Linked DNA regions of Anolis sagrei. The protein of the gene in region 1 binds, or shares a complex with, the protein of each later gene. Links are inferred from orthologs where the notes say so. Each region holds a gene or a part of one and is shown on either strand. Other genes may lie near its edges. The genes, in order: MAD2L1BP and MAD2L1.

Region 1 (15,807 bases):
GTAATTCAGAACGACATATTTGCAATCATGTGATCAGTGGCATCAAGTCACATAATGTCCTTTTATGAGATATTTAAATGGCCTTACTTTGTCAATTTGGAGAAACTTCCTCCAGCAGCACATGAAGTAAGAGCACAATCCAAACTCTGTCTCTCTCTCTCTCTGCTTCTCTGCAAGCACTTGCACAGCTCAACCCTGAAAATAATAACATTATCCAAAAGTCCCAGGCTCAGCCAGCTCCCCAGGTGTAGCTCGACCAATCAGCTTTGTACATCTTACTTTACAATTGACACACACACTCTAACTTATTTCTTACATGCTCCAGCAGAGCAGTGGTTCCCAACCTGTGGGTCCCCAGATGTTTTGGCCTTCAACTCCCAGAAATCCTAACTGCTGGTAAACTGGCTGGGATTTCTGGGAGTTGTAGGTCAAAACACCTGAGGATCTACAGGTTGAGAACCACTGACCTAGAGTAAAGAGTGGAAAATGAGATTCTATCCATGTTTGCAGATTGCACCAAATTATTTGCTTAATTATGTTGATAAAATACAATGTTGAAAGGAGCTCCATTAGCCTGTGCAAACTTATATTAAGAGGGTAAATACAGCTCCAAGAATAAAGTAAAACACTTTGAGTCATTGCCATTCAGACTTCACATGTATGGACTTAGTTGGCAGTAGTGGAGAAGAAAATTGGCGATGGAAGTTGTGGAGAAAGTTCAGTTAAGATGTTAACTCAATGGGTAACAGCTGTAAAAAGGGGAGATCTCCTTCTTGAGATTTTTGAGGGAGGGATTTTTAAAAAAATCTCCAAAATGTGTGTCTGATCACATTTGAAATGTCTTGTACCATTCTGGGTAACATCTCTCAGGAGAGTTATAGGAAAGGTGCAGATTAGGGTAACTAATACATCCATAACACTGAAGCAATTCTCATATTAGGAAACATTACATTTTGGAATTTTTTTTCAGTTTGGGGAGAAAAGCAACTCATATTTGAAAGGAAATACATGATAGAGGCAAATCAAATTAAACACTAGAGCTAAAATAGTTGTATTCTTTCAAAATATATTAGCATTCTGTTGGAAGTGGTGCAAGATATGAAACAGTTCAATAGGCTATGTCAGGCATGGGCAAACTTGGGCCCTCCGGGTGTTTTGGACTTCAACTCCCACAATTCCTATGGTCACAAGTTTGCCCATGCCTGGGCTAGGTGATGGTAAGAAAATTTAATAGTAGGTAAAGCGGCTCAACCCATTACGCAAAGTAAGCATTTGCAGTATAGTTGATTTTGCCCAGGGGCGTTCTTGAGGAGCTCTTGGGGGAAAATAGACCTTAACATGTGCAAGTTGTAGTTTCTGGGAGAAAATAGACCTTAACATATGCAAGTTGTAGTCACCTAAAATCAAAGAGCATTCCGAACTCCACCAATGATGGAATTGAACCAAATATGGCACACAGAACTCCCATGACGAATAGAAAATATATATCAGTGATTGGTTGGGGGGGAGGGGCACCAAAATACTGTTTGCTTACTATTGAAAATTACCCAAGGTCACCTCTGGCTATCAATTGCTATAGTCTGTGATTATCTATATACTGCCTCCTGAATCAGGGACCTCATGCTTCTGAATGCCACTGTCTTAAAAATAATAAGAGGAGCTTTGCTCTCATCACTTCATGTGCATGTCGTAGCATCTGGTGATCGAACACCATAAGAAACAGAATGCTGGGTGTAAACCAAGGACCTCATCTAAGGCAGCTGTTGTTTTTCCTTCAAAATTATTGATTCTATTCCATGCTGTTAATAACTTAAAACACATGAATAATCAAGTGTTTTTCAATCAGCAGATAGCCGTATAAAATTGAAATGACACTATTTATGTTCTAATGATTGCATTACTAGTTTGTGCTTTAGTGAATCAAGATAACATATAAAGACTTATTTCTCACACTTCCAAAGATAGTAGAAAATATATAACTCCTCAATTAGGCAATCTATTATCTTGAATATGTGATTCTAAAGGAAAAAAGAGTGTGTGGACACAGATGGACAGCCACCATCAGGGGGAAAAAATCAACAATTCCTACAGTGAGTTTTCTTAGATGATCCTTTTGCCCAGGTCATTGGATTCTTGTAAGAACTGAGACTCTGAAGTGATGATATCCAGGAGGGGAGTTGTGAAATTGTCTGAAATCAAAGCCCTAACTCTTCCTCAGACCTACGAACCAGATTCTTCCTTGTTCCAAATTTTAGCCTGAAGCAGTACATATCTTTATTTTTAAAACTAATGAGCTGCTTTTCTGACCTAGGATGTGGATTGAATAACTGTCCTGTGGGACTTGCTGCATACATCCTAGAAAAGTTCTCTACATGGACAGATAAATCATTTCCAAACTTGGATGATGGTGGTTTGGAGAGGTAAGGATTTTTATGACATGTATATCTTAGGAGACTGGGGACACATTGCAAATACTAACGTAAAAGAGGAGCAGGACAAATAATTTGGCAAACTTCCATCTCAAATAGGAACACAATTGAGTTTTAATTCAGTGCTTTAATTATATGCTGCTGCACTGCTGAACACATTCTAGCACCTTTTAATAATAATAATAATAATAATAATAATAATTACTATAATAATAATTATTATTATTTATACCCCACCACTATCTCCCCAATGGGGACTCGGAGTGGCTTACATGAGGCCAAGCCCAAACAACAAATTACAATAAAATAAAACTGAAAATGCAAACATTAAACAACAACATAATTACATAAAACATGTGAAAACATAGCAATATAAAATTACAGTGCCCTGAACTTACGTTCCATGTTTTGTAGGCAAGTACCAAAGCTAAGCAAAAGTCTTCTTGTAATTCTCTTATTCAGGAAATACTCGCTGGATGACTTATTGACCAATGTCATGATTTACTGGGTGACAGGCTCCATTGTGACATCCATGCGCTTTTACAAGGAGAATTTTTCCCAGAATCCAAGCAGTACTCCCAGTGGCAGGTAAGGAAAAATAAACAAAAACTGCTACAAGATAAATCCTGTCTCTCCAAGATACTCTACATACCACATGATATGAGGTTTTTTTTATGTTTACTGTTTGTGGGGCTCACCTAAGTCATTTTTGCTGCCTAAGGCCAATATGGCTTTCACTCTGTAGTCTGCATAGATTTCTTAGACAAGCTGCTAATAGGATAGCATAAGCATAAGTGTAGCAGAAAAGGTCGTGCAGCATACAGTACATAGCACTGGCTAAAGCACAAGTTAACCTGACAGCAATACAGTCTCCAAATTATAAAGATAGGTTATGTGGGTTTGTTCTTAAGTTGAATTTGTTTGTAAGTCAGATCAGGTAATTTTTTAAGTGTAACTCCAGCCAAAAATATATATTTTTAAACTTTGAGCAGCATAAGGAAGGGTCACACCCCACCCCCCCCCCCCCCGGTGGTATGTTTTGCTATCTCTGCCCCTTTTTAGAAGGTTTAAATGCACTTTCTGTCCCTGTGATAACTGGATTTTGGAAAAAAATGGCTTGTTGTGGAAACAAGGATTGATGGGAAAGCTTCACTGGGGAGGCTTTTGTAGATTAGCCTGACTGGCTGACGTGACGACTTATATAGAACTGACTGAAAGCCTCTTGGATGTTGATTCAAACCGGTAACCGCTGACTGCTTGTTTTTTTTACTGTTTTATGTTTTGTACTGTTTTATATTGTTATTATTATACTACTGTTAAAGTATATATTTATGTTTTACTGATGTGGGTGCCATGGGGTGCCGATTTGTTAGCCGTCCTGAGTCCCTCTTCAGAGGTTGAGATAGGACAGGATATAAAAGCCCTAAATAAATAATTTTCCCCATGCTCTTTCCAGTGTGAATTTCCCTTCCGAGGGGTAATTTCTCACAATTCTGTTGTCTTGCCTCCGTTCTAAACTATGAGTTGTTTATAACTCAGGGACTGCCTGTATCTAATTTTTTGCCACAATATAAGCAGAATGCCTTCCCAACTATTATTGGGATATTTGTCCAAAGTTTCTGAAATGAAGTCAAAATCCCATTGGCTATATTAAATCCTTTGTAGGAGTTTAGAAAGCACTTGCTGATTTCCAAATATGACAAACCATTTAGATTTTTGACAGTAAAGATGTAAGTTCCATGGTAGCATCTTTTCTAATACAGATCAAGCTCATTATCCCTATGAAGCTTGATTAACCCTCAACTCTTGCTATCCATCTGTGTTCCTAAGTATAAACATTCTAATTCTAGCTAACATGGGTGCCATTTTAATTTGAAAGGATAATAATAAATAAATAAAATGACTTTATCTGTATTCTGCCCTATCTTCCCAGAGGGACACAGATTGTTTCAATGGTAAATACAATACAGTTGGGCCTGTTTAACATTTGTGTACTTATGGGCAATAAAAACAGAAGTCATAGATATGCCAGACAAAAAGAATGCAATTTCCCAATGGTAATGTGGCTTACGGTAGAAAAATGTACATCAGTTTTGCTATGGCCAAGTCGACCCTTGATAATGGTTTCTTTTATAACAGGACTGGAGTTTATGTTCCCACTGGTGTTACTGCCTTCCCTGATGAACTTTTACATGCTCCGCCTTCCTGGGTAAGGAGGAAGTTTAAAAACCTCGTTACCTACTCCTACATGCCACGGGGTGGTCACTTCCCTGCCTTGGAGGAGCCACAGCTCTTGGCTCAGGACTTCAAGCAATTTATTCGGAAAGTGGAACGTCTGTGAGGTAACAGCAAGGCATAAGCATGGCAAAGAGAGCTGTAATCCAAGTGCAAAAACCCTTTGGCACGTTAAGTAAAATAGTATGATTACATTACTGCTTGAGCTTTCAACGGTCATTTATTCTATTGTGAGAAACTACTGTAAGCATCTAAGTTTTTTTTAAAAAAAGAGGGCAGTAGTCATATTAAATTGGTTCTTATAACAAGTAAATCTTTCTTGCTGTAATTTATTTCATATTACAGATCTGTAAAAGGACAATGTCATTAACCAATTCATTGGAGCAGCACATTTAATCACATATCTTACATAGCACCATTTTATACACAATTATAGAATGTACACTGTAATTTTAAAGGCTACTTGAAGTGTCAGAGGGCTGGGCTCTACTCTGCAGGCAACTTTCTGTAAATTGTCAGAGCTTTCCCTATTCTCTTTCCTCTGTGCAAGGACAGAGATCTTAACCTGTTTTCAAATGGCTGATACAATACCTTCTGCACTTTCATGTTTTAGAATAAGCATGTTTGTTTAACCTCTCCCAGGTTTTTCAAGTACAATGCAAAATGTCATTAGGAGCCAGGCAGTCCTTAAAACATACCAGATTAAACACTCTTCTCTGGAATTTGCCTATGAAGGTAGTGGTTCCAGTGTTGTTCAAATAGCTCATATCCCAAAAACGTATTGTAAACTAGAGTATAATAAACTTTTCTGTGCCCCATAGGCCTCTATTTTAGCCTGAAAACATCCTCCTTTCCACAAAGAGAGATTGTAGGTTGATTTTTCCCCCTGACCAAAAAACAAATTCCAATTTTAAAAGCAGTGTGGGAAGCCACATTTCCCATAGTTAACTGAATTTGTCCTTAACTGGACAATAAAGCCATACAGCCTCTTAACAGTGGATAAAATAAATAGATAACCATTGTCTGGAACAAAATACTACCTTCCCTTAGTAGTTCCATAGAAGTAGCCCCATACATACTACTTTCTTAACATGAATGAAGTGGATCAGCTGTTATGTGGGACAGCAGTTTTAAAATTGATTATTTGATGACATTCATTTCATTCCAAAGTCTAGTTTAGTTTTAGTCAAAGCATCAAATGAGGTATTTTACTTTATCAACTTAAACTAAAGCTATAGCACGGGCTGTGCACAACGTCTAGCGTGTAGGAGTATCTGATGCACACAGACAAAACTACTTGGTCAGAGGGTTAAAGCTGCTACATGAAGATGTTGAAAAAATGGGAAACTCCAAGCCATCTTTTTTACTAACACACATACACACACACACTAGACATTGCAGTTCTTAACATAGCTGAGCAAATGTCCTTCAGAAAGCAAAGAATGAATCTCAGTTTTACTCATCATTATCTATTTGCTGAAGTTCTCCACTCTCATCTTTTATAACAATACTCAGAGGAGTTATTTCTCAGAAAAAGCACCTAGAAATCATCACTGCAATTGTTGTACTTAGGAGACTACTTTTTTAGAAGTTGTTATCAATTCATGGAGAGACACTATGTTGCTTGGGACTATGGCTATATTCCTTATAACAGATCAATCCACCATCATCAACACACACAAAAAAAGTTAGTAAGATGGGATTCACCTTCTTCTCACACCATTATTGAGCATTTGCTAACATTGCACAATTATTTACCAATGAACACAGTTCACTGGGAGTATATTATAAGACACTTATGCAGTGGTTCAATTATGTCAAGTATATGTTGGAAATAAAGTCCACAGTAGAGGAAAGTTGGTGACTCATTAAGGCATTGTTTTGACCCTTTGAATCAGTTCCCCAAAAGCTATTCCCATAAATGTAAAAATACAACAGAGTGGGAATACAACTGTTATGGAAAAGTTTGGTTATAGGAAAAGGGAAAGGTTTGGTTATAGTGGATCAAAAAGACAATAGTAAAAAAATTCCCTTTATTTTTTTTATGAAGAAAAGAAACGAAAGCCCTTGACTGTCACTGGAGCTTGAAACCATATGTAATCGTCCCAAGCCGAGTTCATCTCCTGATAGGCAGAAAGACCTGTACTGTTGTGATGATTGCATGATACATTCACAGTCAGCTTCCTCCCTCGCGTTGGCACTTTGTAGTTTAGTTTGGGTCTGAACCAGTCGACACCGCAATTGCGGTGCCCTTGAACCATCACAGTGACACCCATAGTAGGGCCTGTCTGCAGCTCGCTGAACACATCTGCTAGGAACAGAGAATGGAAAAGCTTGCGAATGCAGGCAGCTGTCTGCAGACTGTCCTCAGCACCCTTAACAGACACCCCTTGCAGGTTGATCTCATAGAGTTCTTTAGGGCTGACAGAAGTACCCCCGAGAAGAATCAGAACGCGAGGGACCAGTGTCAAAGTAAACATGGTTTCCAAGTGCTTGAACACTCCCTCAAGATCACTTAGCACTTGCTGGCACTTTTGGCTGCTGTCTTTATCTTTTAAGTGGACTTTTCTCACCACTTCTTCATCCTATAAAGTTAAGGAGATTGGAAAAAGTTGTGAATATTTTAAAGCACAAAAAACAGCAATACAGGCAGTTCCCAAGTTATAGACATCTGGCTTACAAATGACTCAGAGTTAAGAACAGGGGTGAGACAACAGGAAGTCAGAGAAATTTATTCATTGGAAGGGAAATTCACACTTGAAAAAGTTATGGGGAAAAGGTGTCTTCACTGAAATCTTCAATCCTTGTTTCCACAACAAGCCATTTTTTTCCCACAACAAGCCATTGTTAGGAATTGTGGGGAGTTGAAGTCCAAAACACCTGGAGGGCCCAAGTTGGCCCGTGCCTGCTTTTAAGACAGTGTTTCTCAACCTTCGTAATGCTGCAATCCCTTAATATAACTCCTCACTTGGAACAAATATTCAATATGTCCAAATGTGAAAACTGGTGGGGTTTGGGGGAAACAGACCTTGACATTTGGGAGTCGTAGTTGCTGGGATTTATAGTTCACCTACAATCAGAGCATTCTGAACCCCACCAATGATAGAATTGGGCCAAACTTCCCACGGAGAACTCTCAGGTTTTCTGATGGTCTTTGGCGACTCCTCTGACACCCCCTCGTGACCCCCCCCCCTCCAAGGAGTCCCGACCCCCAGGTTGAGAAGCGTTATTTTAAGAGCTTGAAGGCTGCTTTGAGGCCGCCCATCTCACCCTATTTACCTGTCCGGGGGTCCTGGGCGGTTGCCTCCGGTAGAAGAAGGCGAGCTGCTCGTAAGGCAAGGGCAGCTGCTGCCGCTGGTACAGGACGTGCTTGAGAAGCTCGCAGGTGAACCGGAAGCAGCCCTCCTGCGTCACCGAGCCGGGGAAAGCCACGGAGACCGCCAAGGCCGCGCCGCCGCCGCCGCCGCTGAGAGAGGCAGGCCCCGAGGAGACAGCCACCGCCACGCCGGGGCCCTCGCGCCCTTCCGCTCCGCCGCCGAGCCCGCCTTCTGCGGGAGACAAAGAGGAAACCAGCCAGGGCGGCTGCCTCACTCTCCCCAAGAGGCCTCGCCCCAAAGAGACAAAAACGCGCACCACGAAGCCTTACCTGTGCCCTGCGTCGCTCCCTCCGCCGCCATTTTCTTCCCCTCGGGTTATTATCCGATTTGAATGGCCGCCTCAGCGAGCATCCTGGGAGCGGTAAGATGACATCACTTCCGGGAAATGGGAGTCTCGCGGCGCCATCTTGGCTGAGGGCAGAAATGGCTAGCTGTCCATAGGCGTGCCAGGATGTCGCGATAGATCAGGCATGGGCAGACTTGGGCCTGGGTTGTTATACAACAATCCAGTGATTCTGGTCATGAAAGCCTTCGACAAAACTTGGGCCTTTTCTCCAGCTGTTTAGGACTTCAACTCCCACCATTTTTATCCGCTTAAGCGTCTGAGGGGGAAAAGGAAAGGGCCTGAGGCTGGTAGGAATTGGGTTGTAGGGTTTTTCGAGCTATATGGCCATGTTCTAGAGGCATTCTCTCCTGACGTTTCGCCTGCATTTATGGCAAGCATCCTCAGAGGTAGTGAGGTCTGTTGGAACTAGGAAAATCTATATAAATAAAAATGTAATGTTAGTTCATGCTACCATCAGAACTCAAAAACCACTGGGGGAATTGACACCAAATTTGGACACAAGACACCTAACAGTCGAATGTATGTCCTCCACTCAAAAAAAATTGATTTTGTCATTTGGGAGTTGTTGCTGGGATTTATAGTTTACCTACAATCAAAGAGCATTCTGAACTCCACTAATGATGGAATTGAGCCAAACTTAGCACACAGGGCTCCCATGACCAACAGAAAAAACTGGAAAGGTTTGGTGGACATTGACCTTGAGTTTGAGAATTATAATTCACCCACATCCAGAGAGCACTGTGGACTCAAACAATGATGGATCTGGACCAAACTTGGCATGAATATTCCATATGCCCAAATATGAACACAGATGGAGTTTAAGGGAAATAGGGCTTGACATTTGGGATTTGTACTTACTGGGATTTATAGTTCACCTACAATCAAAGGGCATTCTGAACTCCACCAATGATGGAATTCAACCAAACATGGCATACAGGACTTCCATGACCAACAGAACACACTGGTAGGGTTTGGTGGGCATTGACCTTGAGTTTGGGAGTTGTAGTTCACCTACATCCAGAGAGCACTGTGGACTCAAACAATTATGGATCTGGACCAAACTTGACACAAAAATTCCATATGCCTAAATATGAACACAGATGGTGTTTGGAGGAAATAGACCTTGACATTTGGGATTTGTACTTACTGGGATTTATAGTTCACCTACAATTAAAGCACATTCTGAAACCCACAAACAACAGAAATGGGGCAAACTTCTCACACAGAACCCCCATGACCATCAGAAAATACTTAAGGCCATCCAGTCCAACTCTCTTCACCAGGGCAAGAAAATGTAATCAGAGCCCTCCTGACAAAGAGCCATCTAGTCATAAATATATATAGATAGATAGATATGATTCTCACACACACACACACACACAGATATAGTATCATAGATTTGAAAGAGAGGACCCTTAAAGAAGGACTATGATATGTTGCATGTTCCAGGGTGGGCAAACCAGACACTCTCCACATCAACACTGACAAAGAAACAACAAGAAATACTGTTTACTCACAAGCATAAAGGAATTACATATATTAGAAACCAACACTTTCTCATTACTTTCTTTTCCAGATCACCAGACTGGGCCACAGCAACGCGTGGCAGGGAACAGCTAGTGGGTTTATATATCTGTGGAATGACCAGGGTGGGGCAAAGAACTCTTGTCTGTTGGAGCTAGGTGTGAATGTTTCAACTGACCACCTTGATTAGCATTTGGTGGCCTGGCAGTGCCTGGGACAATCTTTTGTTGAGAGGTGATTAGATGTCCCTGATTGTTTCCTCTCTGCTGTTTTGCAGTTGTAATTTTAGAGGTTTTTTGATACTGGTAGCCAGATTTTTTTTCATTTTCATGGTTTCCTCCTTTCTCTTGAAATTGTCCACATGCTTATGGTAGGAATTGTGGGAGTTGAAGTCCAAAACACCTGGAGAGAAGGCCCAAGTTGGCCCATGCCTGACTGTGATAGATAGACCGACCCCTAGGGGCCTCGCTCCCCAAAGCTGTGCCAGTTCTTCCGGCGGTCAGAAAAAAAAATACTTCTGGGTATGTCAGTAGAAAAATACATTATAATAATATAATTTAAAAAACCTTTATTTGTATACCACCCTATCTCCCCTAGGGGACTCAGAGCGGTTTCCACATATGCAAAATAATAAAAAACATACAATATAAAACAAAAACATAGGCACAAACTGTTAACACGACATATAAATTACAGTCAATTTTAAACCACTCTCTTCAGGCAAGGTAAGCTGCCAGGGGCAAAGATTTCAATAAGGGGCCTGGACTATTTGGAACGGGCTGGGCCAAGGAGGAGGGAAAAATGGGGCTGGCTGAATACTATAGTGCAAGGATTGGTCTCAGCAGTGGCCCTACTAGGGGACCGGTGCCATTCAATTCCAGGGCCAATTAAAGGATTATAAAAAAAGCTCTGGGCTGGAAAAAATGTGCCCTTAAATGCCAGAGAACTGGGGAATGGATGGGTACAAGGCCAAATCCTAACTGTTGGACCAAGGGCTTGAGACTAATAATAATAATAATAATAATATTTATTTATATCCCGCCACCATCTCCCCAATGGGGACTCGGAGCGGCTTACATGGGGCCAAGCCCGGACAACGTATTACATCAAAATAAAACCAAAACTATAGCAAAAAGTGCTGCAGGTTGCCCGCAAAAGCAAAGTTTTGCAGTTCAAGAAACCTTTTCCATGTTTTTATGATAGAGCCAATTAGGAAATGACGTTTATAACCCAGGAACAAAAATCGTGTTACCTAGTGTAATATACTGATTCACTCACTCCCCTGCCCTCCCTTTTTATAATGAATATTTTGACTTTTTACAAATAAAGCAACGTCCCAGTTTTGTGGAAATTAGGGTCATTTGTATCCCTCTTTTATTATTTTGGAAGTACCATATTGTTTGCCACTGATGATAATTGAACTTGACCTGAGCTGATGAACTTGTATAGCAGTAAGCTTCATAGGAGAAGTCAGGGAGCAAAGGTATTGTTTTTTCAGAGCACATGCTGCCTCACCCTCCTGCCTTGACCTGATGCAATGAAGGCACTAAACAGAGCAATCTCTTCCAACTGATGCAATGAGTTGACATCGACAGTAACCAAGTACAAAGGGAGTGCTTGAAGGAAGTACCAGGATGTGACTCTGTTTGTAAACATCCGCCCACTTAGCAGTGAGCTCAGAAAATCTCAATACATTTGTAAGGCAAATCTTCCCCAACTGAGTTCCATTTGTTTTGTCTGTTTTTCCCCCCAAGTAACTCTCATTCTTTTTGAGTTGCCAAGTTACCTTATAAATCAGCTCAAATTAGATAGAACACATTGAAAACTGTTGGTAAATGGCATTGCTATCCACTCAAATGTCACGGGATCAACAGGAGAGTATCAAAATTATGCAGAAGAGACTATTGAGTTCTTATGTCCACGCATATTTTAAATTTTAGCAAGCAGACTTAACCTGGAGAAGCTGTACAGCAGGAGGAAAGGTCCATTATAGAGATGCATTGCTACTTCTCTATTTGAGGACAAAAATCAGAACCTATAGAACAAAGGCCTCATAGAAGTTCTAGTTTGTGCAGCATGGATGGAAACAGTAAAAGTATGGAAAAATAAGAAAACGTACCAATGCAGAACTGAATAAATGGAATACAGACGGTCCATGAGTTGCAAACATCCAATTTAGAAATTACTCATAGTTAAGAACAGGGTTGAGACAACAAGAAGTGAGAGAAATCTGTGTGTGTGTGTGTAGCTAGACTTAAGTCAGACTCTGTTCTGACTTAAAAACAGATGTAACTTAAGAACAAACCTACAGAACCTAACTTGTTTGTAACTTGGGAACTGCCTGTATGGGCTATAGCTCTTATCTGAGAAACCAACCTAGAAAGTAAGATCAGGAGAAATGAAAGAGATTTTGTTTGAGGCCATATGGAAACCATTTATCAACTGTATGTGCCAAAGCAACAGCAAATTCAAACCACCCTCAGGTGAATTATTTATTTTATTTATTTCAGACATTTATATTCTGCCTTTCTCATCCCGAAGGGGGACTCAGAGCGGGTTACAATCGGCACTCATTAGATGCCACAAAAACAATAGCAATAAAATCACAATTAAAGCATTGACTAAACAATAAATTAAAACATTTAATTAAAAGCTAACCAATCCAAGAGCAAATCCACATCCAAAGTCATAGTCTGAGGTCTATCAGAGATCAGGTGAAGCAAGGTTTTGGTTAAATGGCTAGTGGTTCTCAACCTGGAGTCCCCAGATGTTTTTGGCCTACAACTCCCAGAAATCCTAGCTAGTTTACCAGCTGTTAGGATTTCTGGGAGTTGTAGGCCAGAAACATCTGGGGACCCCAGGTTGAGAACCACTGGCAAACAAGATATCTGTATTATTAAGAAAACTAGATAATAGAATAAAGAATAATTCACTTGTTAGAGGACTAGCAGTATATAAACATCTGTGACTTAGGGAAAGGAGGGAAGTTGGATGGGGTAACATCATTGTAAACAGTGACTTTTCAATGTTATATTGTATATGATATGTGTATATACATACATATATTGCAATAAAATAAAAACTCAGTGCATCTCTTTTGCATGATCCGATCTATAGCAGTCTTTTTTAAACAGCTGGAGTAGGCCTGGGCAAACTTTGACCCTCCAGGTGTTTAGAACTCCAACTCCCACAGTTCCTAAGAGCCTCCGGCCCTTTCATTTTCCCCCTCAGCCGCTTAAGCTTAAGTTGCTGAGAGGGAAAAGAAAGGGAGTTGGAGTCCAAAACATCTGAAGGACCAAAGATTGCCCATGCCTGATCTACACTGTAGAATTTAGCACACCTTGACACTTTAACTGCCAGGACTCAAGGCTATGGAATCATGGGAGTTGTAGTTTAACAAGGCCTTTGGCCTTCTCTGTCAAATATTCTGAAGAGGTTTGCCATTGCCTTCCTCTGAGGCTGAGAGCGTGTGACTTGCTTGAAGTCATGGCCTGGTTCAGATTTGAATCTACACTGGAGAATTAAACACAGTCCTTTTGTGTTCCTCCCTTAGAAACCCATTCTCCCTCAGAAACACATTCTACATAACTCATCCAGGGTTTTATCAATTTTATTCCTAGTACATTTGGCCTGACCACTGTATTCTATTTCTCTATCATGTTATTTTGAAACTGTTTATTTTATTTTGTTATTTCATGTATTTATTTTGATGGTAGTTTTGCTTCTTGTATTTTATTTTGCTGTACTGTAATTTTGGGCTTGGCTTCATGTTAGCCGCCCCGAGTCCCCTTTGGGGAAATGGTGATGGGATATAAATCAAGTTTATTATTATTTATTACTAGCTGTACCCGCCACACGTTGCTATGGTTTACCTTCCCTCCTTTTCTCTTTTTTCTTTCTCTACTTCCTTTCCTCTCTCTTTCCTTCCTTCCCTTTTTTCTTTCTTTCTCTCCTTCCTTATCCCCTTCCATCCCCTCCCACCTTTTCTTTCCCTTCCTCTTTTCCCCCTTTCTTCCTTCTCTACCTATTCTTGGACTACAACTCCCAGCAGTCCTCCTTATCCATCTATCTACCTACCTACTTATCTCTATCTAATCTATCTATCTGGAGAATTGGTTGGAGTTGCAGTCCAGGAATAGGAAATTGGAAATATGCAGGGATTTGGATGCTCTTTAAACTCCACGGCCTCATTACAGTATTTTACTTGTTATTTGTTGTGTTAGGGCAACCAGTCAATTATATTACATTTCTAACAGAACGAAGCAAACAAACAGACAAAATACAAAATGTGTGAGTTTGGTAGTTGATTAAATGCCCTTTGACCAGTATCTGGCCACTTGGAGTGCTTCTGGTGTTGCTGCAAGAAGGTCCTCCATTGTGCATGTGGCAGGGCTCAGGTTGCATTGCAGCAGGTGGTCAGTGGTTTGTTCCTCTCCACACTCGCATGTCGAGGATTCCACTTTGTAGCCCCATTTCTTGAGGTTGGCTCTGCATCTCGTGGTGCCAGAGAGCAGTCTGTTCAGCGCCTTCCAAGTTGCCCAGTTTTCTGTGTGCCCAGAGGAGAGTCTCTCATTTGGTATCAGCCATTGGTTGAGGTTCTGGGTTTGAGCCTGCCACTTTTGGACTCTCGCTTGCTGAGGTGTTCCCGGGAGTGTCTCTGTAGATCTCTGTAGATCTCATTACGGTGCAATCCTGGGAGGTGTTGCTCTTTGGTGAGGCACTTTTGCACAGAAGACTGAAGATAGATATAAACAAAACATTCCCAGGATTCAGTTCAACAGTGTGTGCCGCATTAGGGGTTTAAAGTAGTGTCAAACTGCGTTAGTTCCACAGTGGAGATAAACGGCGGGATTTCTGGGAGTTGTAGGCCAAAACACCTGGGGACCCACAGGTTGAGAACCACTGTTTGAGGGTGCCTGGCCGATGTGTCTGTGTGGGCTCTGCGAAAGAGTGACAGGGCGCAGAGGAGGCTGGGAGTGGTAGTTCGAGGGAGCGGCTGCAGAGGCCTGTCTTCCCGTGATGCCTCGCGCTCCTCTTTCTGACGCCAGGAGGAGAGCCTGAGAGAGCGAGCCCTCAGAAGCCAAGTGCGGCGCTGGCAGGAGCAGGAGCTCAGCCGGGGAAGGGAGGCAGGAGGAGGAGGAGGAGGCGCCGCCAGGGATGGACTCGCGGGTGTCGGAGCTCTTCGGCGGCTGCTGCCGGCCAGGAGGAGGAGGAGGCGGAAGCGGCGGGGGGGCTCTGCGAGGCCGCTCCGGAGCCGGCTCCAGCAGCGGGGGCTCCTCTTCCAAGGGCAGGAAGAAGAACGGGAGGCACCGCGGGGGGAAGGCCAACAACCCGCCCTACCTGCCGCCTGAGGTGAGGAGAAAACCCACCCGCTGTTCATCTCCACTTTGCATCTCCACTGTGGAACTAACGCAGTTTGACACCACTTTAACCTCCCAATGCACCACACAGACTATTGAATCCTGGGAGTGTTTTGTTTATATCTATCTTTAGCCTTCTGTGCCTCACCAAAATGCAACACTTCCCAATATTGCACAACATTGAGGCCCTGGAGTCTAAAGAGATATCAAACTGCGTTTAATTCTCAGTGTAGATTCAAGTTTGAGCCAGGCCATGACTTTAAGCAAGTCAACACTCTCTCAGCCTCAGAGGAAGGCAATGGCAAACCTCCTTGGAAGGAATCTTTGACAGAGAAGGCTAAAGGCCTTGTTAAACTACAACTCCCATGATTCTACATCCTTGAGTCATGTCTGTTAAAGCCTCAAAGTGTGCTAAATTCCACAGTGTAGATCAGGCCTGGGCAAACTTTGGCCCTCTAGGTGTTTTGGACTCCTACTCCCACCATTCCTAACAGCCTCCGGTCCTTTCCTTTTCCCCCTCAGCCGCATAAGCGGCT
Region 2 (15,181 bases), on another chromosome or scaffold:
TCTCCCTCTCTCATCTATCTATCTATCTATCTATCTATCTATCTATCTATCTATCTATCTATCTATCTATCTATATCAATCATTAAATATGGATTAATTCACAATGAAATACAGGTTCTCATGTTTGCTATAGAAGGTAAAGGTTTTGCCCTGACATTAAGTCTAGTCGTGTCCAACTCTGGGGGGTGATGCTCATCTCCATTTCTAAACCAAAGAGCCGGCATTGTCCGTAGACACCTCCAAGGTCATGTGGCCGGCATGACTGTATGGAGCGCCGTTACTTTCCTGCAGAAGCAGTACCTATTGATCTACTCACATTTGTATATTTTCAAACTGCTAGGTTGGCAGAAGTTGGGGCTAATAGCGGGAGCTCACGCCTCTCCCTGGATTCGAACCTGCCACCTTTTGGTAAAGATTCAGGTTTCTGTCAGTATGTGCAAGTCATCTGTCCTGCATCAAATGAATACTACACTGATCCTACAATGCCCAATGTTACTTCTGAAACTATAGTATCTGATGATTATATTTTAGACCAGGCATGGACAACGGGCAATATTTGGCCCTCCAGGTGTTTTGGACTTCAACTCCCACCATTCCTAACAGCCTCAGGCCCTTTCCTTTTCCCCCTCAGCCGCTGCGGCTGAGGGGGAAAAGGAAAGGGCCTGAGGCTGTTAGGAATGGTGGGAAACACCTGAAGGGCCAAATATTGCCCATGCCTGTTTTAGGCCATAGTTTGAGGCTATGGTTTTAAAACCTCCACAATTCTATTATTGTATAGAATAAGTATCTTTCTGTCAGTTTAAGCCCCTGTGTTGTTGTTGTTTTCCCCAGAAGCTGCTGCAGTCAATTTTTCCCTCTGTGGTAAACAAAAAGGGCAAAAGCTTTCAAAGACCTAATAATATTAATTTGTTTTCCGTGTCAGGAGCAACTCGAGAAAGTGCAAGTCGCTTCTGGTGTGAGTGCAAGTCGCTTCTGGTGTGAGAGAATTGGCCGTCTGCAAGGAAGTTGCCCAGGAGATGCTCAGATGTGTTAATGACGATGATCGTAATAATACATGGCCCCAAGGCGGGATACATAAAAAAATTCTCCTTATAGCAAACTCCCAAATAATTTGGGCTTTTTCAAAAGTCAGGACATATTCCTACTGTTGAACTTTCCTCAATTGAAAAGTACCACGTCAAAACCACCAAAAGCCAGTAAAAATTGCTAAGGTTTAATAGGCCTGCCTTCTCTTTATCTTCTCTGGACAAAACGTCCCAAAAATTGGGGGGAACTGTGTTGACAATTCAATATTTGACGTCTTTAACTTAAGGTTGAGGCCACCCTCACTAAAAATGCCTCAGAAAATCATGAAGTGATGCCTCAACTGAAAGACAGGATGAGGCTGAGGCCTTTGCATTTCACAACCCCTGATGCCACATCAGTGTGAAACCATGGAGTTCAATATAGTCACAGCATTGTAGCACATCCAAACACCTGGGAGTTACCTTGGACTGTTCCCTGACTTAAAAGAAGCATTGCTTGAATATCAAGCAAAAAGTGGATGCTATAAACAATATCATACGAAAGCTAACTGGCACAACCTGGGGATCACAACCAGACACAGTGAAGACATCTGCCCTTGTGCTTTGCTACTCTGCTGCTGAGTACGTATGCCCAGCGTGGAACACATCTCACCATGCTAAAACAGAGGATGTGGCTCTCAATGAGACATGCCACATTATCACAGGAGAAATTACATTTTAGTCAATATTGCACCACCTGACATCCGCTGGGAAGTAGCAGCCAATAATGAAAGGACTAAGGCAGTGACATCTCCGGCCCATCACCACTTCAAATACCAACCAGCACGCCAACGCCTTAAATCAAGAAATAGTTTTCTAAGATCTACAGAGACACTTGCAGGAACACCTCAGCAAGCGAGAGTCCAAAGGTGGCAGGCTAAACCCTGAAACTTCAATCCATGGGTAATACTAAATGAGAGGCTCCCTCCTGGGCACACAGAAGACTGAGCGATTTGGAAGGCACTGAACAGACTGCGCTCTGGACCACGAGATGCAGAGCCAACCTTAAGAAATGGGGACACAAAGTGGAGTCCACAACATGTAAGTGTGGAGAAGAGCAAACCACAGACCACCTCTTACAATGCAGTCTGAGCCCTGCCACATGCACAATGGAGGACTTTCATATAGCAACACCAGAGGTACTCCAAGTGTCCAGCTTCTGGTCAAAGGACATTTAATAGAATGCCAAGTTTTCAAACTTTGTGGTTTTGTTGCTGTTGTTTGCTTTTAATACATTACAACGGTATCCTTGGTTTCCTCCTGACATCTATATAAATGTAATGTTTGTTTGTGGAATTAACATAACTCAAAAACCACTGGACGAACTGACACCAAATTTGGACATAACACACCTATCAGGACAAGTGACCATCACTCATAAAAACGCTGAAAAATACAGCACAAGAGACTTTAAAAGCCAACTCCCCCAAAATACATTTCAAAGGGTGCGCAAAATCATACATATACACAAACACATATATACACATATATACAAATATACGCATATATACACATCCAAAACACATATACACAGAGTGGGCCACAGCAACGTGTGGCAGGGGATGGCTAGTGATAAATAAATAAATATATAGATAAATATAGTCACAGCTCTGGAATAAAAACTATCTTTTCCGCCTATTTGTCCTTGTTTTTATCATACTACATTGTCTGCCAGATGGTAATAATTCCAAACAATATATTCTTGTGATGAGAAACTCCTCAATTCAGACAAGGTAAACAAAGAAAAAAGAATTGAAGTATTCCAGACTTGAGTCCAATCCCAGGAAATCAAGATTCTTGAGCCAAAATCTAGTAAGAACATTTATGGGACATTAAAGTCCATATGAGAAAAGAAAAGAAAAGAAAAGAAAAGAAAAGAAAAGAAAAGAAAAGAAAAGAAAAGAAAAGAAAAGATTCACTCTTGGGGGTGTGAAGATTGATATTCCATAAATCAAAGAGAAAGGTCAGCTTTCAACTAATTTATTAGCAAGAAACAAGATTGGAAGCAAATACATGAAAGTAATCCAAGACCAAGTATTTTATAGGAAAACATACTTAAGAGACCTAAGCCACTAGAAGTTAGCTTACTATTTCAAAAAAAATAACTGGAATCTAGATATGACAGAAAAAAAAACATGAATTATGTTATATTTCCAAAGGTGAACTCTAAAACAATCTTAACGTTAAATTGTCTTAGTGCAACTGACAAATATTTAAGATAGCGTTGTTGTTGGTGCTCATACGGCTGTCTAAATACAATCTGTCTAGTTCAGCTTCCTTTAAAATGTCTGGTACACAAAATATTTGTGCTCATATCATAAGTTGACATGCTGAACTCTACACTGCAATCTGCTTTTCATTTGAAAAGAGTGGCAACAGTTAATTACAAAGCACAGCTTCTGTGACTCAACCATTTTGCATTTAAAGGTGCTTGATCTTTTCCAGAGAAGGAGCATAAAATTTATTTAATTTAACCAACACATATTTGGTTAAAATACTATCAAAAGAGTGACTGGAATCCCTCTGTGTCAGCTGGAAAAGTCACTTTGAAGAAGGTGTTTATTAGGAACATTTTCCATGGTCACAACAGGTGGCTCGAAATGTCTGGGTAAAATCAGCTGCTGCTTATTAGAGAGTAGACACTCCCAACAGGGCAAAACATCAATAAATAGTAGGGATGCCAGGATTTGGAACCGATTTTACATGTTGCGTGCAATTAAATAAAGTACTAAGCTAATTTCTACATGGAACTAATTTTTGTCATATGACATGCAATCCTTACATTTCAACTACTAAGTAATCATAAATATACAGTAGAGTCTCGCTTATCCAACATAAATTCCCGGCAGAAGGTTGGATAAGCGAAAATGTTGTATAATAAGGCAGGATTAAGGAAAAGCCTATTAAACATCAAATTATGTTATGATTTTACAAATTAAGTACCAAATCATTATGTCTTACAACAAATAGACAGAAAAAGCAGTTCTATATACGGTAACGTTATGTAGTCATTACTATATTTACAAATTTAGCACCAAAACATTGCAAAGTATTGAAACATTTGTGGATCTGGATGGGAGGCAGATTGCGTTGGATAATATAGAACGTTGGATGAGCAAAGGTTGGATAAGCGAGACTCTACTGTATAGTTTAAAAGGGATGGAACAGGAAAGTATCTTGACTTCAAATATCCCTTCATAATAATTTTTGGCTGCTCATTTTATAAAAGATAATATAATAACATGTTGGTCAGCAGAAACATGGCCGACTTCCTTTGTTTCAATAGTATAGAATGGAAGACAGACTGACTTATTAATAAAATATTTGAAATATATGCATACAATCTGTTAATCTTGAACTTCAGATTAATGATGACATAAAGAAGAAACCAAAGGAAAAGTGCAAGGAAAACAAAGTTGTTCTGAAGGGGATGTAGTTTTATAATATTTTAAATTGCACTATAGGACTGTAGGTTCCATCTGTAGAGTGTAAATAGACTGAAATATAGCTTTGAAAAAGAGCTGCCACTGCAGCTTAGGGAGTAGCCTTCGTGCCTACCCTCCCTATTCTTTCACACAGCATTCTTGTAAGCAAAAGATAAGCCAGTGCCTGCCAAGCACTTCCCAGCGAGTCAGGGTCACTTGAAAGAGATGTGAACTTTCCAGTTAATTCTAGTTTCTGTTGTTTTCCACCTGTCTGCTTGCTTAGGAATAAAGAGCCAATCCGAAATGTATTAGGCAAGCTTAGACCAATCAAACAGACAATATGTTGACATCAATCAAAATGCACTTTTTGGATTTCTGTAAAACAATAAAAGATTGCGATCCCAATCTTTTGGGGCGCGGTAGTCTTTTCATGTGTAGAGCACAACTGCCGCCATTTGCACGGTCGGCAAATAAAGCTAATCTTCAGAGAGATTCAATTTGTTGTTGTGTCCTTCCATGCCACCCTTCCAAGACAGAAGGGGACTTCTGGGAATGTGCAGAGTGCATGCCCCTTCAATTCCATAAATCCTTTACACTACATTTCAGTATACAGGATGGCTGTTCTATGTAAAATAGGGGTGAATAAACATCTGCAGGGTATAAAATACCCTTTGATGCAAGGCTGAATTGGACGAAGCAAATAACATGCATTTGATAACATTGTTATTTTATTGAAATGAAAACAAATTCACTTGGGTTTTTTTTAAAATAAAAAACTTTTCTCAAGACCTTATTTGAATATTCAAAAACATAACTCATTGTCCTTGTCAAAAAGATGAAATCCTTTCACTTTTATTAAGAAAAAATAAAAGTGGTGAGGAAGAAGACAAAGTGGATGTGGATAAAACACTGATTTTTTTTTTCTACTAGGAAAAAGAGATAAAATTGTTGGCAAACAGGTCAAATAAGCAAAGCAATTTATTGTAAACAGAAATCAAATGTGTTTGTGTGTGAACAATTTATACTAACATTTATCTAGTGCCAAAAGCGACAAACACAGCTGCAGAATATTTGCCCCATGAATTGATAAAAAAGTTAATGTGATCAAAGATGTACATTATTTGCATGCATTGAACATGACAGCCAGGAACTTTTTTTTTCCTTTTGTGATGCAGAAGGATCTGGGCCATTGCAATGAGTGAGGCTGTCCTTTGACTGTCCATGCTGTTTTGTTTGTTTTTTTTCACTTTTCAGGACAACACTGAGAGAATCAAGCACTTTTAGTTAAACACTACCATCTTGTGGTAATTCTAGTGAAAAACCTAAATCTATTCTAGAAATGGCAAAACGAATTCAGTAATGCTCTGGACCTTCACATTCTTATGTTCCAAAACTTGTTCTCAACTAATCCAGTCATAATTTACAAGAGGAAGGAGTCTAAATTATGTTTACATTTTATCACCATAAATTATTACTACCTGCTCAAACTATTGGCATTTGAAAACCTGGTAAAGATGCCTCCAATGCCAAGAACTACCGACCAATCACTCTCATGTGACATTGGTATAAAATATATGAGGGTATGCTATTAAATCAACTAGGCCCTGTTATTGAACCCCAGCTTATTGCACAACAAGCAGGTTTCAGACTAGGGAAAAACTGTACAGCTCAAATTCTTAACTTGACCTAGTATATCAGGGAAGGCTATGAGAAAGATTGTATTACGGGAATAGTTTTTGTGGACCTTATGGCAGCCTATGACATGGTGTAATATAGGAAATTGCTGCATAAAGTCTACCATATCACCTGGGATTACGATTTTATAAAAACTATCCAGACCCTCCTAGAAAACCTCAGCTTCTATATGGAGTCTTAGGGCAGGAAAGGTAGATGGAGAAGGCAAAATAATGATCTACTTCAAGGCAGTGTTCTTGCACATACGCTGTTTAACATTTATACTAATGATTAGCCACAACCACAACTCACAAAGAGCTTTATATACACTGATGACCTTGGCCTAACAACACAAGCAAAGGACTTTGAAACAGTAGAAAACCAACTTACTAATGCCCTGAAAAATCTCTCAGGTGGTTGTCTTTGAAGTATTACACCTGCCAAGACCCAAGTGTGTGCTTTCCACCAACATAATGGTGAAGGCAACAGGAAACTGAAGGTTACCTGGGAAGGCCAAGAACTTGAACACTGTTCCCACCCTAAATATCTCGGCGTTACCTTGGATCAAACACTAACATTTAGGAAACACTGTGCGAACACCAAGCACAAAGTATCTGCACACAATAACATCCTGTCGAAACTTACTAATAGTGCATGGGGTGCAGACCCAAAATTAATAAGAACATCAGCCCTGGCCTTGTCTTACTCAACTGCTGAGTATGCCTGCCTTGTTTGGCACAAGTCTGCCTACATGAAGCAAGTGACTATAGCACTGAATGAGACATGTAGAATAATCACAGGATGTCCCAAATGTACACCTGTTGATAGACTCTATAAGCTATCTGGCATTACCCCCCCCCCCCCAATGTGCAATGGCTGTTGCTAATTACGAGAGAAATAAGGTTGAACACTGAAAACCATGCACTGTATGTTTATTAGTCTCCTCCCTGTAGACTTAAATCAAGGGAAAGTTTCATGAGAACCAACACTCCTCTTAATGCTCCCCAAGAAACAGCAAGAATATCCCTTTGGGCATCTAAACATTAAATCATCTGGGTGTCCCCTGGGCAACGTCCTTGCAGACAGCCAATTCTCTCACACCAGAAGCGACTTGCAGTTTCTCAGGTCGCTCCTGACACGACCAAATCTAAACCAGGAAATCCCAACCGGATGCCCCACCCCCCATGAGGGTCCTCCTCCAGGGGCAAACCAAGAATGAGCAACTTGGAAGTCCCTGAAAAGACTCAGAAGCGGAGTTGGTAGATCAAAAGACAACCTGGGAAAATGGCACTACCTATTAGCATATAGATGCGGAGTTTACTTTGTGTGACTGTGGAGCAGAACAAACAACTCCACATCTAGATGCTTGCCCACGATGTCCTGCCTCATACATAGCAGAAGAACTAGTTAAAGCTACAGACAATGCAGTCTGTTGCCAGTTTTTGGTCTAAAATTATCTAGCTGTTTGTGCTCTTTTTATTTTATCAGTTTTATACTTATTTGTTTATGCAATGCTTTTGACACAAAATAAATAAAACCTGCTCAGACTGTGGAAGAAAAATGAACACATTGTTTACTTTTCTGTCAACCAAAGTCCCACTTCATCAAATTTGTAATGGCATATATCTGATCAAACAAATGTCAGTAGATCCAGTGAAATAAATGGGATTCACAATGGGTTTTCTCTGATTGTAAATAACACAAAGGGGGGAGGAGGACTGTGAACGGTAGACCCAAATTGCACTGTTGTTTCATATTGCAGCTAGCTAATATTGATTGTGCAGATGTGGGCAAACTTGGGCCCTCCAGGTGTTTTGGACTTCAACTCCCACAATTCCTAACAGCCGTCAGGAGAAAAATTGCCTCCAGAACATGGCCATATAGCCCGGAAAAACCTACAACAACCCATGGATTCCGGCCATGAAAGCCTTCCACAATACAGCCGGTAGGCTGTTAGGAATTGTGGAAGTTGAAGTCCAAAACACCTGGAGGGCCCAAGTTTGCCCATGCCTGCTCTAATATATAGTTTCAAGTCACAATCACAACTATAAAAAGGGCCAGCATTAAGGAAAACAATGAGTCCTGAATAAGTACAAAAGTAAATAAACACCTGGTTGCATCAGCTTAGCTAATGGAAATAATTAGAATCAGGTGCATGAACATTTAGATAAATGGGGAAGTTTGTTGGGTGGCATCTCAAAAGGACATTTAATCAACTACCAAACTCACAAATTTTGTATTTTGTCTGTTTGTTTGCTTTGTTGTGTTAGAAATGCAATATAATTTGGCTGGTTGTCCTGACATGACAAATAAATAAAATCTCAAAAGGATCAAAACTTTGGTCATTCTTTCTTTATGTTTCTGTTTGTAAGAGAACTAATTTGGGATTGGCAGATTCCTTAGATATCTTAACTTTACTAATCCTGGAATTCCATATAGCTGGCTGTTAAAAGCAATATTTTAAGTCTTACATCAATTGGGTGGGAAACCGCGGGAAAACTTCATTGAGAAAGCCGCGCATGCGCACATAATAAGAGCTAAAGGCGGCTCAAATGAAATAGAACGTCTCTGTCGTCTTCCTCCGTTTGCGCCTGCGCAGTGAGTCGCCGGCGTCAAGTCTTGCGTCTTGGGACCACGTGACGATGCAGGGGCGGGGCTTTGGATTTTGAAAAGCGTGGCGGGAAGGCCTCTAAAGCTACTGTCTCGTGTTTTGGAAGGGGCGAATTTCCAAGGCTTTGGGGGAGGCCTTCTTCCGGTGGTTTCTCGTTTGGATCCTGACCCTGCTGGCCCTTTTCCTTCCTGCCCGCCATGGCGAAGCAGCAGAGCCGGGAGCAAGGCATCACCCTGCGGGGCAGCGCGGAAATCGTGGCCGAGTTCTTTTGTGAGTCGATTACAAGACTGTGGGGGCGGTTTGACACTATAGTAATTGCTATGGCCGGGTGCTATTGAATTATGGGAGGTGTAGCTTTACAAGGCCTATAGTTCTTTCTGCCAAAGAGTGGTGGTGCCTCAACAAACTACATATCCCACAATTCTGTAGCATTGAGCCATAGCCGTTAAAGTGGATTCGAACTGTATTAATTCAAGTGTAGATCAGGGATGGGCAAACTTGGGCCCTCCAGGTGTTTTGGACTTCAACTCCCACAATTCCTAACAGCCTCAGGCCCTTTCCTTTTCAGGGTGAAAAGGAAAGGGCCTGAGGCTGTTAGAAATTGTGGGAGTTGAAGTCCAAAACACCTGGAGGGCCCAAGTTTGCCCATGCCTGGTGTAGATTGTAAATAGGCCAGGCTGAAGCTGAACTGAGGCCTATTCAGCTGAAACTTTAAAGCAGCCAATGTGTTTCCTGATTCTGTTTGTCTTTCTTCCCTTTCTCTGTCTCCTTTGATATTAAGAAGTATGATAGATAAGGAAAACATGGGAAGAACTCTCTCCAGGGAAGTCTCCTTTGCAATATAAATAGAAATGCCTCCTTAAGAATGTCTAATATTGTGCTATGCTAATAATATATATTGTATATACATATAATATTGATGATAACATTATAATGTAATACAATATTATACTAATAATACTATGATATAATAATTGTGTATTATATATTACAAGTAATATTACTAATATTGCAGTATAGTGGTATAGTACAATATAGTAATATATAATACTAATATTGTGCTATGCTAATATAACATATTGTATGTACATGTAACATTGATCATAATATTGTAATACAATATAATACTAATAATATTGCAGTATAGTGGTATGGTACAATATAGTAATATATAATACTAACATTGTGCTATGCTAATATAATATATTGTATGTACATGTAACATTGATCATAATATTGTAATATAATATAATACTAATAATATTGCAGTATAGTGGTATAGTACAATATAGTAATATATATAATACTAACATTGTGCTATGCTAATATAATGTATGTATGTATAAAATTGATTATAATATTGTTATACAATATAATGCAATATAATAATTATATATTACATGTAATATTACTAATAATATTGCACTGTAGTGGTATAGTACAATATAGTAATATATAATACTAATATTGTGCTATGCTAATAATATAATATACTGTATGTACATGTAACATTGATTATAATATTGTTATACAATATAATGCAATATAATAATTGTATATTGTATATTACATGTAATATTACTAATAATAGTGGTATAGTACAATATAGTAATATATAATACTAATATTGTGCTGTGCTAATAATATAATATACTGTATGTAGATATAACATTGATCATAATATTGTAATACAATATAACACTAATAATACAATATAATATAATAATTATATATCACATGTATTGTTACTAATAATATTGCAGTATAGTGGCATAGTACAATATAGTAATATATAATATTAATATTGTGCCATGCTAATAATATAATCTATTGTATGTACATATAATATTGATCATGATATTGTAATACAATGTAATTCTAATAATAATGCAACATAATTGTATATTATATATTACATGTAATTACTAATAATATTGCAGTTTAGTGGTATATAATACTAATATTGTGCTCAGCTAATATAATATATTATATGTACATATAACATTGATCATAATACTGTAATACAATATAATACTACTAATAATGCAATATTATAATATAATCATATATAATACTGATATTGTGCCATGCTAATAATATAATCTATTGTATGTACATATAATATTGGTCATAATATTGTGATACAATATAATAATACTAATAATAATACAATATAATATAATGATTATATATTGTATGTAATATTACTAATAATATTGCAGTATAGTAGTATAGTACAATATAGTAATATATAATACTTATGTTGTGCTATTCTAATAATATAATATATTGTATGTACATATAACTTGTAAGCTGTTCTGAGTCCCCTTTGGGGTGAGAAGGGCAGGATATAAATGTCGTAAATAAATAAATGTCTTTTAGTATTTGCACATTTATAATAATGATAATATTAAAAAAAACTTTGCTTCAAGATCTACCTCCTTCCCGAAGGGACTCAGGGTGGTTTACAGACACAAAGCAAAAGGCAAACATTCAATGCCCCAAATGAATACAAACACATCAAAATAATACAAGATAAGGCACAGAAACAGCAGCAAACTAAGAGCAAAGAAGTAAGTTGCTCTGAGTCCCCTTCGGGGTGAGAAAGGCTGAAATTAACATAAAGCAATCCAATAAGACACAGTAAACTAAAACATGAGTAAGACATTTCAGTATATACCCTAAAAGCAATTATGACTTCAACTCCCACAATTCCTAACAGCCTTGAAGTCCAAAATACCTGGAGGGCTGAAGTTTGCCTATGCCTGTGTTAGACCTTCTCAACCTAAAAACAAGTCTAGTTGAAATCTGGGGTTTCTGTTACATAGATTATTATTATGTTTATTTATACCCTGCTTTATCTCCCCAAGGAACTCAAAACAGCTTGACATAAAAGCATCAGCATAGCCATTTGAAATATACAAATATACGAACATTAAAGCAGGATTAAATATAAATAGTATTAAAGCATTCCCAATTAAAACAAATCAAAGTTAGATCTCTGTTGGCTTCCACTGTAAATTCATATTAACCCTGCCGTGTCTTTACATTGCTGTCTTCTCCCAGAGTGAGTGTTAGATTTTAATCTTTTGAGTAATAAGAGTTGGCAAAGGCAGTACAGCTTTCTGGGGTTCAGGGCATATTCTTAGAGAAAATACATCTCGTATAGACTAGTTACATCTGTTGGTTTCATCTCGTAATGCACTGTATGTGGGGCTGCTTTTCAAGACTTTTTGGAAGCTTCAACTAGTCTAATGTGTGGTAGCCATATTGCTAACAGGAGTGGCGTACAGAGAGCACACAATCCTCCTGTTATGCCAGCTCCATTGGCTGCCAGCTTGCTACCGAGCACAATTCAAAGCGCTGGCTTTGGTCTATAAAGCCCTTAACGGCCTTGGCCCAGTTTACCTGTCTGAACGCATCTCCCTCTATGAACCATTGCAGAGGCTAAGATCTTCTGGTGAGGCCCTGCTCTCAGTCCCACCACCTTCGCAGGCACGGCTGGTGGAGACAAGAAAGAGGGTCTTCTCAGTGGTGGCCCCTCGGCTGTGGAATTAGATCGGCTTCCCACCTGTCATTTTGCAAACAAATTAAAACTCGGCTTTAGGAGCATAATTACTTGTGCAATATAACTGGAATTGGTTTTGGATTGATGAATATGACTATCTTCATGAATATATGCACAATAGTTGTCTAATGTGTGCATATGTTGCTTTAATGTTGTTTTTAATCGTCGTTTAATTGTTTTTAACTGTTATTCGGGCATGGAATAGTGCCCCTTATGTAAGCCGCCCTGAGTCCCCTTCAGGGTGAGAAGAGTGGGATATAAATATATGCAAGTTAATAAATAAATATTTTAAGTCAAATCTGTGAATAATCAAATGAACAAAAATCTAAACCACAAACATGGAGAGATGAATATATACAACACAGCTAGCCCTCCATAGCCATGGGTTCAATCATCCTAAAAATATTCCCTCCCTCCAAAAAAATAAACAATTCCTAAAAGCAAACCTTGATTTTGCCATGTTATATATGAGATATCTTTTACTACACTATTGTGTATGCCAATATTGCCTTGCCATTTGGAAATACTTAATGGGAAAGAAAAAGAGCATGATGAAGTATTGATTCTTGAATTGTAATAACATGCACTTTTTTTTCTTTCAGCATATGGCATCAATAGTATTTTATACCAACGTGGGATCTATCCTGCTGAAACCTTCACACATGTTCAGAAATATGGGCTCACTATGCTTGTAACAGCAGACTCTGAACTTAAAAACTACTTGAATAACGTCGTGGGGCAATTAAAAGGTACTAGCAGTTGTAATATTGTTATTAAAGGGTGATATACAGTTTTCTGGGTGCCATAAGGTTGCCAAATGCTCCTTACAGGCTTAAGAGAGGTAAAATAAAAGTGGGGGAACAAAAGAACATGTTTATTCGGGCATGAATCCTGGTATCAAATTCCTCTTTTTTCTTTTGCGCCCATGACCTCTATCACTTAGTCACTGCTGCTTCTTTGTCTGCACTTGAATAACTATGCCAGTGGCCAGTTACAAATGGACTTGTAACTTTTTCAGACATGGATTCATGTTTGGTTTGAACTGTCTATGTAGCTTGGTTTAGCCACAACATTTCATTTCATTCTCATTCTAGTTGCAATTCAAATGCCAAAAATACATTGCATCAATATGTTGAATTGCAAATGTTGTTGTTATGGGATGGTGGTGTTAGGTATGTGGGGTTTGTCTCCAAAAGGTACCAAATCCAAACAAAAAAAAATGAAAAATTAGTTTATCCACAATGTTGGATATGAGTATAATATTAAAACTATCAAAATGTGTCAAATCACTCCTATTTGGGTTTGGAAAACTGCATTTTATAGCTCAAAATGGTTGTTATTATCCCTGTAAAATTTGTCCAGATGGATTTGGTACCTTTTGGAAACAAGCTGTATGTGAAGAACCATCCTATGAACCATTTTGGAGTCTAAGATTGCAGGCAAGATTGGCGGGGACGAGAGACAGGGCCTTCTCAATGGTGGCCCCCTGGCTGTGGAATTCCCTCTCCAGGGACATCAGATCAGCCCCTTCCCTCCTGAGCTTCTGTAAGAAAGAAGAAACCTGGCTTTGTGACCAAACTTTTGGAGAACTTGAGAAATAGACAGATATGGAATTGATGTGCACTGACTACCTGAAATGGCCGGATTACATTTAAGGATCATGTGATTGACTCCTAATGTTTTATATGTTTTTAAACTGTTTTAATGTATTTTATAACTATTTAAATATCTGTAATTGTACATATCCTATGGCTTCGTGTGGTTGCCTTCATGTAAGCTGCCTTGAGTCCTCTCCTGGGTAGAGAAAAGCGGGATAGAAATGCCGTAAATAAATAAGAAAGGCTACCCGATACTTTGAGAACTGGATTCAGCCCCAGAAATAAATGGATAAGATTTCCTAGTGTGTGGTTTGAAACCTGCCTACAGTGTGAATATGTAGGGAAAGTTGGTATATGTTATAGACATGCAACCCATTTCTTACTATGTATTTTTGGCAAAACTAAATTTGGTTGCTTTTATCTCCCTTTATCAACCATCTCAGAGATTAAGATCACCTGAGGAGGCCCTGCTCGGTCCTGCCTGCGTTGCAAGTGCAATTCTTGGGGATGAGAGATAGGGCCTTCTCAGTGGTGGCCCTTTTGTTGTGGAACTCCTCAGTGATATAAGATCAGCCCCCTCCCTCCTGAACATGGCTCAGGGACCAAGCCTTTGGCCAATAATGCATTGCAATAAGTAAAAATGGAAATTGTGCAATAATGACTGAAATGGCTTTTTAAGTATGATTCTGGATTGCATGGTTTTAAAAATGTGTTTTAATGTTTATATGACTTTTTAAATTTATGTTTTTAATATACTGGTACTTGTTTACTTGCATACTTGGTATGACACCGAATTGTTGCCTTTTGGAAGGCTACTTTGTGTCCCCTTTGGGGTGAGAAGAGCAGGATATAAATACAATGAATAAATGAATTATTTCTTGTGTAATAGAATACAAAAGTGAAGGCTTTCTTGGGAGTTACAATTTAGCTTTAGACAAGCAATTCCTCACTGCCAAATTGTTTCATAATTTGACAAGAGAGGGAAATACCTGTGATATTTTTTCAGTAGAAAGAAAATGGTGTCTCTGTCTTCCTATTAGTGTACTAGAGAATGTTGAGGTTTTTTGAAGAATCCCAGTGAATGTAAGGAAATATTATTCTCCATTGCCAACAGTGTTAGAAGACAGGAAGATTTAAATACTCACCCTTCCCTTGTGGGAAGCAGCACCAATGAGCTGCTCTTTCCACTTCTAAAAGGTAAACACAACTCTGTTTTCAGAGTTCTCTGCACATATGAGAAT

The links.
Region 2: the proteins of MAD2L1BP (region 1) and MAD2L1 are in contact, whole or in part, in a crystal structure (PDB 2QYF), measured with the Homo sapiens proteins. The link is inferred for Anolis sagrei from reciprocal best matches to the Homo sapiens genes MAD2L1BP and MAD2L1. Residues at the interface, in NP_055443.1 of Homo sapiens: Pro61, His79, Tyr82, Gln83, Gln85, Pro88, Leu89, Pro90, Gln93, His96, Ala185, Leu187, Arg188, Phe191, Arg192, Phe195, Asp198, Ala199, Phe200, Ser201, Glu202, Leu203, Gln204, Ala205; in NP_002349.1 of Homo sapiens: Tyr33, Arg45, Thr52, Leu54, Lys122, Asp126, Glu127, Arg129, Ser130, Arg133, Gln134, Thr136, Ala137, Thr138, Thr140, Phe141, Leu142, Leu144, Glu179, Val181, Arg182, Leu183, Arg184, Tyr199, Asp205.

What each region holds. Positions count from the first base shown.
Region 1 is NC_090021.1:49,650,098-49,665,904, forward strand, and holds MAD2L1BP (MAD2L1-binding protein), read right to left. Parts: upstream 8,400-15,807; 5' UTR 8,342-8,399; coding exon 8,311-8,341; intron 8,213-8,310; coding exon 7,944-8,212; intron 7,250-7,943; coding exon 6,707-7,249; 3' UTR 4,978-6,706; downstream 1-4,977. Other genes in the region: epoxide hydrolase 1-like, read left to right, coding at 2,312-2,420, 2,892-3,017, 4,569-4,770; GTPBP2 (GTP-binding protein 2), read left to right, coding at 15,069-15,263. UniProt on the Homo sapiens protein: May function to silence the spindle checkpoint and allow mitosis to proceed through anaphase by binding MAD2L1 after it has become dissociated from the MAD2L1-CDC20 complex.
Region 2 is NC_090025.1:35,716,738-35,731,918, reverse strand, and holds the start of MAD2L1 (mitotic spindle assembly checkpoint protein MAD2A), read left to right. Parts: upstream 1-8,790; 5' UTR 8,791-8,971; coding exon 8,972-9,044; intron 9,045-12,944; coding exon 12,945-13,091; intron 13,092-15,181. UniProt on the Homo sapiens protein: Component of the spindle-assembly checkpoint that prevents the onset of anaphase until all chromosomes are properly aligned at the metaphase plate.